Neurospora crassa OR74A: one gene and its partner. The protein of the gene in region 2 purifies or fractionates together with the protein of the main gene of each other region. This does not show direct contact. Links are inferred from orthologs where the notes say so. Each region holds a gene or a part of one and is shown on either strand. Other genes may lie near its edges.

What was found.
Region 1: the proteins of NCU04378 (region 2) and NCU10155 purify together in Saccharomyces cerevisiae (affinity purification with western blotting; 6 studies listed by BioGRID, with this or other methods). This does not show direct contact. The link is inferred for Neurospora crassa OR74A from reciprocal best matches to the Saccharomyces cerevisiae genes CDC45 and DPB2.

The regions. Positions count from the first base shown.
Region 1 is NC_026505.1:1,591,959-1,596,530, forward strand, and holds the start of NCU10155 (DNA polymerase epsilon subunit B), read left to right. Parts: upstream 1-1,751; 5' UTR 1,752-1,884; coding exon 1,885-2,663; intron 2,664-2,722; coding exon 2,723-4,499; 3' UTR 4,500-4,572. Other genes in the region: NCU04589 (heterokaryon incompatibility protein 6), read left to right, coding at 1-25; NCU04588 (hypothetical protein), read right to left, coding at 645-726, 800-1,299, 1,417-1,503. UniProt on the Saccharomyces cerevisiae protein: As accessory component of the DNA polymerase epsilon complex participates in chromosomal DNA replication.
Region 2 is NC_026504.1:3,567,959-3,572,524, forward strand, and holds the start of NCU04378 (DNA replication initiation factor Cdc45), read right to left. Parts: upstream 2,875-4,566; 5' UTR 2,517-2,874; coding exon 1,749-2,516; intron 1,697-1,748; coding exon 1-1,696. UniProt on the Saccharomyces cerevisiae protein: Required for initiation of chromosomal DNA replication. Acts at the origin of replication. Also has a role in minichromosome maintenance.

The DNA of each region.
Region 1 (4,572 bases), on a different chromosome or scaffold from region 2:
GAGGCACGAGTTTTTCCTTGTATGAGTCGGTAGGTCGCGGCCGGTACATTTCTCTAGAGGTAGGAATGCACCCGAATCAAGGTTATAGGCAAGATGAAATCCCCTCAATAAACACATACGACCATACCCACTGGAAAACTCGGGATCCCGTCCGCTCTCCCATAGATAAGCCAGTGAGGGCCAGACTAGTAGTTGGGTCGGTGACGACCAGCGAATCCCTGGTGTTGTATGTTTTTTTTCTTTTCTTTTTTTTTTCTCCCTCTCTATTCTCATCTTTATCCTGTTCACTTTCACTTTGAATCACGTTCTTCTTTTGGTTCTTTCTTCTCTCTCGGATCTTGTATCCCACCTCAGGCAGTAGTCGAGCTTCCACTTACATATACAAAACGGATCAGTCAGCGTTGAAATGCTTCGTCGCTCACATCCTTTCAGTCCTTCACTGTTTGATTAGGACATATGTCAGATCTCCCAGTAAATTGTTTGAAAATTTAGGACATTACTCATTGACGAATCGAACCCCAAGACGTACGTCTCCCCTTTATTTTGGACAACAGCATGAAGTGTAGCGACACATCAAACGGACCGCTCACCTATTGTACATCCGCTCTCACCACCCACATCCTTCAAACCCCAAACATCTCCTCTCAAGCTTTCTGCTTCTCTTTCGCCTCCTCCTCCTTGAACCTCGCAACCAACCTCTCCATCAAAAACGGACTTAGTCCCAAGCTGTAACCAATCCCAACAGTTAGCAACCACGTCAACCCACCTCACCTCACCTCACCAAAGTAAAAATACTCACATGCCCTGATTCGTAACAACCCGATAAGTCCCACTCCCCTGGAACGTCCCCTCGATCATCTTTCCCTGCCCATCCACCTCCACGCTCCCAAAGATATCCTCGGGCCACGCAATCCTTCCGAAATCCACTGGCGTCCTCTCATCACTCAAGTGCACCCATCCTCCCCTGCCCGCGCCTCCCGCGCCTCCCTCCGCTGACGCCCCGCCGGCGCCCGTGTCGCTGCCCTTTTTGCCTACCTTTCTCGAGCCAGGACGAGGAAGGAAGGAGAAACCGGCTGGGGAAGCAAAGGCTTGGGCTTGTGATTGAAGACCGGGGTCGGAGTAGGCGTGTTCGGCGAGGACGGAGTTGAGGATGGAAAGAAAGTGGGGGTTGGTGGTGAAGGACTGGGGAGTTGGGGGTAGGGCGGTGGTGGTGCCGATGGAGAGGGTGGGTGGGGGAGGGGTCGTGGGGAGGAGGGAGAGGATGTAGCTTTTTGGGTCGTTTGGGTGGGGAAAGACTTTCTGTGGTGATGGGTGTTAGTATGGTGTTTGAGTTGTTGTGTGGTGATGTGGTGAGGATGGGGGTTGTGGTGTAAGTGCGGGTGGGGTTGTTGGTGGAGAGGTGGATGGATGACTTGCAATGTTTGGGTTGGACGGCAAGGTCGTGAATGACCTGACTGCGCTTCGTAGCGTAGGAACTACACGAAATCTTGTAGTAAGCATCATGACTGGCTGTATTGAATCTGATATCGAGAATGAAAAGGTTGGTGATGGCGTCAAAAGTTAGTTGATGTCACTCTGGTGCTGTTCGTGCGTCTACTTGTAGCGTAGGTACCTGCTGTAGGTACCTCTCTAGCGCTGCCGGCGGCAACCAGGGTAGGTGGCCCTTGATGCCCCTGTTTCTGACATTGTGGAGCCCGTATTGGCTGAAATCTGGGGTGAGCCCCACTAGAACGCGTCTGGTCCCCTGCTTCGTTTCTCAATTTACGCGTCTTCCAGACAGTGACAATGACGGATATCACCACCACGAACAGACTGGTAGACGGCCAATTGTAACCGACTATACTAAATTGCAAGTTTAGTCGAGCTATCCAGACCACAGACACAATGATCGTTCAAAGTCCCCGCCAAAAGCGGACGAAAACCGGCCAGACAAACGCCCAAGACAGACCATCTCGACCGCAGCCACAAGCAGCAGCCGCCGCCGGCTTCTTTGCGCCCAAGACCCCAGCGGGCCCATCCAACCCGATACCCTCGTCCTCGCCCGCCTTCGCTACTCCAGTACATCCACTGAAGCCGTTCCAACCCCCAGTCCTCACAAAAGCCGCAATCCTGCCCATCATCCTTCCGCCGGCGACACTACGACCGCTCGCCTTCCGAACGTTTACCAAGAAACACAGCCTAACACTTACATCAACTGCCCTACAAGAGCTCGCAACCTTTATCGGTAGACACTGTGGCTCAGGATGGAGGGAAGAAGGCCTGGCCGAAAAGGTGCTAGAAGAGGTAGCAAGGAGTTGGAAGAACCGCAATGGCGGCGTCATCGTGGAAGGCAACAGCCCCGAGCTCAAGGACATTCTCAAGACCCTCGAGGGAAACATGAGCGGAGGAAAGATCCTGACCGGGCCACGAAGCTTGAGCAGACAAAACAGTCTCTTGCTAGAGCCCGACCAAGACGAACAACATGCGCATAGTCGACTCGGACTTCGGCCCGTGCCATCATTAACCCGGGAGGACAGCAACGCCAGCTTTGGCATGTCTGGGTTGGAGTTCACAGAAGAGCCGGAAGACGATTCGGTGAGAGATGTTAGGAGGTGGCTGAAGGTTATACATGCTTTCGATCAACCACGGTTGATGTATAATGTTGGAAAGAAGCATTTTGAGAGGTATGGTCCCTTATTATTTATTACCCTCTTTACATAGGTTACACAGCTAACCTTTGTAGGGATCCTTCCAAACCCTCCCTACTACCAGCCGCCTCTCACAAAACCGATGCCTTCCGCAACCGCTACAACGTTATTCATCAGCGCATCCTTCGCAACGAAGCCTTTCAATCCTCCTCCGTCCAAGGCTCCAGCTTGCGCCAACGAACCAACGCCAACGGCCTCTCCTCCCACAAGATTACCCCAATCGCCAACCTGCTCGGCCGCCATGGCAGCAACCACATGCTGCTGGGCATGCTTGTTGTCCTTCCCACTGGCTCTCTTGCCATCAGCGACCTGACGGGCACCATTACTCTCGACCTCTCTCACGCTGTCGCCATCCCTGAAGATTCTGCCTGGTTTACGCCGGGAATGATTGTTCTCATCGACGGCGTCTACGAAGAGGAGGAGGAAACCATGACCATGGGCAACGGTCTCAGTGGTAGCAGCGGTGTGGGCGGTACCATCGGCGGCCGGTTCCAAGGTTTCTTCATCGGCCAGCCACCATGCGAAAAGCGCCGCGTTACGCTCGGGGTTAGTGGGCCCGACGGCACCGGCGCTGATCATACCATTGGCGGCGGATTCGGCTGGATCGACTTCCTGGGCGTAGGTAGCGAGAGGGCAGTCGGGTCCAAAATGCGCAAGTTGGAGCACAGAATTCTTCGGCAACCAGCGCTGTTGGAGGATGGCAGGCCGTCGAGGGGTAGGGCAGTGATTATTGGCGAACTAAACCTAGATCAGCCGAGGAGTTTGCAGGCACTGAGAAAAATCTTGGGTCTCTATGCTAGTGATCCTGAAGGGTGTACACCCATGACGTTTGTGCTGGCGGGTAACTTCACGCAGCATGCTGTCATGGCGAGGGGCGGGAGTGGGGGGAGTATTGAGTACAAGGAGTTTTTCGATGCGTTGGCATCGACACTGGCGGATTTCCCTAGTCTGCTCACGACGGCTACCTTTGTTTTTGTGCCAGGTGACAACGACGGGTGGGTGTCTGCCTTCTCAGGTGGTGCGGCAACTCCTTTGCCGAGGAAACCCGTCCCAGATCTGTTTACTTCCCGCATCAGGAGGGTATTCGCAGCAGCGAATGCTGAAGCCGGGCTAGCCAACCCTGGCAAAGAAACAGAAAAGGATGCAGGCAAGAGGAGAGGCGGCGAAGCTGTCTGGACAACCAACCCAAGTAGGATAACCCTTTTCGGGCCTAGTCACGAAATGGTTCTTTTCCGAGATGACATCTCCGCCCGGTTACGACGAGCTTCTGTCCGTCTTAAGAACACGAGCAAAGCCTCCGTCGAGCCGGAACCCCCAACCAATGGTAACGACGACTCGGCAATGGATAACCAATGTCCACCCTCCTCCCTCCCCGACGCCCCCGATGCTGACGACGAAGACATGGCCGACACAACCATGACCGACGCCATGGATGTCGATTCTGCCCCTGCCCCTAACCAAAAGACTACCATGCCTCCTCCATCTTCCATACCCTACGACGTCCTCGCCGCCCGCAAGCTAGTGAAAACCATTCTCGACCAAGGCTATCTCGCTCCTTTCCGGCAAGCTATCCGCCCGGTACATTGGGACTATACTTCCGCCATGTACCTCTACCCGCTGCCGACGGCCATGGTACTGGTGGATACTACCGCTCCGCCGTTTTGCGTGACGTATGAGGGGTGCCACGTGATGAATCCGGGGAGCATATTAGTGCCGGGGAGGAAGGGGGCGGCACGGTGGGTTGAGTATGAGTTACCGGGAGTGGGAGGGACGGGGACGGGTGGAGGGAGGGTTAGGGAGTGTACATTCTGAGTTTTGCACATTTCGAGTGAAATGTTTGATTGTCTGGAGAAAAATCTGCCTTGAGCTTATTACGAGGCTGTGC
Region 2 (4,566 bases):
CCCTTTCAAGTTCCTGATCGAGCTCGTCCTCGTCTTCGTCCGACTCATCATCGTCGTCCGAGTCCGTATCAGAGAGATCCGAGTCGTCGTCACTATCTTCCTCGTTGTCCTCCTCCTCGTCCTCATCGCCGCCGGCGTCGGACTTGGCTTTCTTTTTCTCTTCTTTTTCCTTTCTCTTGGCCTCCTTCTTCTCGGCCTTGATCTTTTCCTTGATCCTTCTCTGCATCTCCTTGGCTTTAGCTTTGGCCTCTTTTTCTTCGGCTCGCTTCTTGGCCGATTCACGATCGAGAAACTTTGTGTCTGGCCCACCGCCGCCACCAGTACCGACGACAACATACACTCCGCGCTTGTCATCTAGACTAGCCACTACGAGAGGTGTGCCACGACCGCCATGGGCGAGCCTCCCGCCAGTGGCTTCTTTTTCCTGTTCCGCGAGTGCTTCACCGATCCAGAGCGCTAGCTTGGTCAAAGCGCCGGGGTGGTTGAAGAGTGTCGCATCTGGTGAGTCCTTGACCACGCACATGCGAAATGCGCGCAGATGAGATATTTGTTTCTTCTTCAAAATTGTCGTGCCAGTGGTGAAGATGGCCTTGTGTAGATACTGCGCCGTGGGAAGGCCAGCCTTAAGGGCCTCGATGTCCTCCAGCGCATCATACGCCTCCCAGAACCTGGGGATCCACTCCTCACTTTGGCTCTGGTTGTTGTCTACGTCGAGAAGATCCTGAGATGGGCCAGCAGGAAGGTCATCAGCACTAGTGGTGTTCTTCCCCACTTCCAACAGGGCTCCGACTACGACACCGACATCTTGCGCACTCAGGGTTGCCCTCCAACCCCAACTGCGTACAAAGCCCCATCCATCTTTGGCACCTCCACGATCTTTCCCGTCCGTGTCTATGGTCGGGACAAGTTCGTCGAGGTTGTAGAGAGACGCGTATTTTAGTAGTTTGGTGCGAAGTTCGCGCTTCAACATCATGTCCATGTGGGCATAACTCTGCTTGCACTGCACCAGACTGACACCCATCTTGGCGAGAAGCTTGTGTAATCGCTTCATGCCAGCCTCGCTCCACGTCTTTAGCCGAGAGAAGAGGTAGGGTGAGTGAAGCATGCTGTCGTATAAACTCCAGTGCCTAATAAGCAGGAACTTGGGCTCCGGCGACAACCTGATACTGGTATCCTCCGGACTTCGAGCGGTTGTTGGGATAATTCCTGTCGTCTCGGGGAGCACCCGGCCGTTTCCTATCTCTGGTGGGTTGAGACGTCTGACCTCGTCTCGCAGAAGCTGCCGTATTCTCGCACCACGCATGCCGAGCCAACCGGAAATGCGGGCGTCTGACCTGCGAGCTGCTACCGCAATACCGGCAGATGAGCGGCCGTACAGCTCCATCGACGTGACCCCAACGATCGCTAACCATAGCAGGTCGTTGTCTTCACGACCCAGTTCTGACGCAAGGGAGTACATCATGGACGAGATGGGCTCCGAATATGATGTACCCAGTCGGTAGTACTCGCGCAAAACTCCCTCGTTTTCTCGTCGTAGTCGTAGCAATCTCCGTCGGAGGGTGTTGGCTGAAGGGCCTCTGGGTGGTTGTGCAGCAGGCGGAGCTTCCAGCGCGTCACTGGAAAATAGGGCATCGTCGCGTAGAGATATGAGACCACGGTGTTGCGGTCGTCGAGGCGAATCTGGAATTGGACTCGACTGTATCTGGCATGAGAGATGTATTACTATGAAGAAATCGGAATGTACTCACCGAATTGCTTCTTCGTCGCTGTCTGGGTCGGTCGTCTTCATCATCGTCCTCGTCGAAGTCCGACCATGATTTCCTCTTTCTGCCTGCAACAACCGATGTATCGCCCGTGTCTTCCTCGTTCTCGCTTTCGTCTTCATCACTGTCGCCCAAGTCTCGGCCATCATCTTCGATTTCGGGCATATCCACTAGCGCCAGATACGCATCTCGTTCCTTGGAGAGCTCATCTTCAATGTCGCCGTCATCCATGACAATGATGCCGCCTTTGCCTGGTTTGTATGCTCGCTCTATCCGGCCGCCATTGACACCAATGGGGGTTCGCGCAGAGAATGTCCTGGCCTCTTGCGTCTCTGGTTCGAGGGGAAAGCCGCCGAAAACGTTGCCCAAGTTCCACGGGCGATGGGAGTCGATCACCCACACCTCTACACCCCCAAAGGTATTTTCTTCGCCCTCGGGCTCAAGTCCCAAAACTGTGCCGAGGTCAACCATACCACCCACTCCCAAGCATACGACGACTCCTCCAGCACCACCACGGGTCTCCATCATGGGGCTGACGAGCTCAGTGCCGGCACGTTCGAGGTCGGAGTAGCCAGCGACTGGCTGGATCTTGTGCGGAATATAGTCATGTTTGAGAAGTTGGGTTAGGATACGGCAGGCACATAGCGCATCGGTTTCGAGAGCGACCAAGATGAGGACGGGCGGCGATAGTGGATGGCGGGTATTTTGCAAGTGGAGGTAGAGTTTTGATATAAGCTGTCGAGGGAGATACATTGCGAAGGGAGAATCGGTATCGAGGGTGGATCAGCGAGGGAAATCGGCTGGGGACGGATTGTCGAGGCGGGGCGGCGAGGCGACGTCGTCGTGGGATATTCGCCGGCGTGGAACACTTCAGTTGTAGTTTACTCGAGGTAACTAACTTCGAACTCTGTTCACTGGGCAGAAAAAAAACCGACGGGGGATGCGCGACGCGGCCTGCCCCGCGTTAAGAGCTTTCTGCTCTGGACTATGTAGCTTGAAATATACGATGGCAAAAAAATACTGGTGTGATGGCGATGCACGTCAGTCGGATAGTGTTGTCGCGGTCGACAATAATTCGGGCGAGGGATGATGGTGTTGATAGGAGTGTTCCTTTGTTGATGTTGGCCAGGATCCTTTAATTGACATGGAAGGGCGGCCAACCAGCGCTGCGCTTCGGACGCGCTTCGAGACGCGACTCTGTGAAAGTGGTTTTGTGCCAGGGCGGGCACAGCGTGCATTACTTAGATATCAACCACTGCAGTGGACTGCAGGGGGGGCGTCAGCACAAAGCGTGCAGTGAAAGGACGCGGCCGGAGCGACCAGTTTGCTTGTACCTAGAGGTACCTCTACGTACTTGTAGTGGGGCTTTGGGTTTTGGGCAGGCAAGACGGGAGGTACCTATTGTAGAGCTGGGTAAAGTACCTACCTACCTACTGCGTACAGTAGTATATCAAGAAATGGCGGGGTACAACGCGAAGTGGAATTGCCCAGGGCAGCTGCTGACAGCCAAGGCCACAGGGGCACCCCGGGGCGGCCATCCCTCGACCGAAGCACGGGCATTGGTACAGTAAGTAGGTAGGTAATAAGGTAAACCAGGTAGGTACATCATAGCCCGGCAAATGCCTGCCCAGAGGACAACGGAACAACGGCCAGTAAGGTTCCTGCACGACAGCAATGCGATAGAAGCTTCCACTTCTGCAACTTGTCCACCTGGTCGAACGTGGAATTTCACGAGAATTTCTGCCGGCCGATGTCCCTGGATTTTAGTGAACTCTTTAGTTGCCGTGGAATCATCTGAGAACACTGTCACCGTGGGGCTGCCCAACAGCTGGAACTGAACTAATTTATCAACCTGGGTGACCAGCTGTGCTCTTTCCACTCCATCTCCTACCATAGCATAGGTAGGTGTCCAGACAGGCATCGATGTCCCACAGAAAGGTCCGCGGTGAAGGAACGGACCGGGGATGATGAACTATTCCGAAATTGCAGAGTGCGGATTGAAGTACAATACCTAGCACAGGAAGGGACCATCTAACGATGTGCTTTCCAATCCTGGATTCCGGATCAGCGTCTCCGGATTTCCGATTCGACCTATAATCCAGCTTCCATCTTCGCTTCTCTTCCTCTGTTTAGTTTGGTCCCTCTTTTGTCAATCCACATTTCCATCATTGCTTGGATCACAACACAACAACTGCCGCACACCAGACACCACTCACAACACTGGCCATCCACCACGACACCCACACCACGCCCCGTCTCGTCGGCGACAGTCTCAATTTCACTCCATCCGTGCTACTACAGTAGCCAGCCGGCCTGCCAAGCCAGCCACGACGGCGGCCACTCTTGCGGCCCACGCTTTTCTACGGTCAACCTGACCGCTCCTCTGCCTTCACTGACCAAAGCAGGAAGGAGGCTGTTCAGAGGAACTGACTGATGGTTGGGCCCAGCAACGAGGTGATCGACACGCTTCTCAAAACACTTGTGGTTTGTAAGTTGCCCTGGGGTGCGTCTACCGTGTAGTAGTGTACACTAGAGTCAAGCATGGAAGCGACCCGGGGACTTGGGCAGGTAGCCAGCCAGACCTTGCCAGATATACGCTACTTTTGGACGCGGTAACAAATTGCAGCGTATACCCATAGATCGGCAAGCTGCTGTTTGATGCGAGGGGAAACGATGGGGCCGAGTACCCATGAGGCCATGGGCTCACCACCATGTTTACTGCGCCATACAAAACCTATCAGCTCGTTGCTCACTTGGTACTTGATACCCGACGAGCTTGTCGTATCCCCCTCTCTTGCGTGTT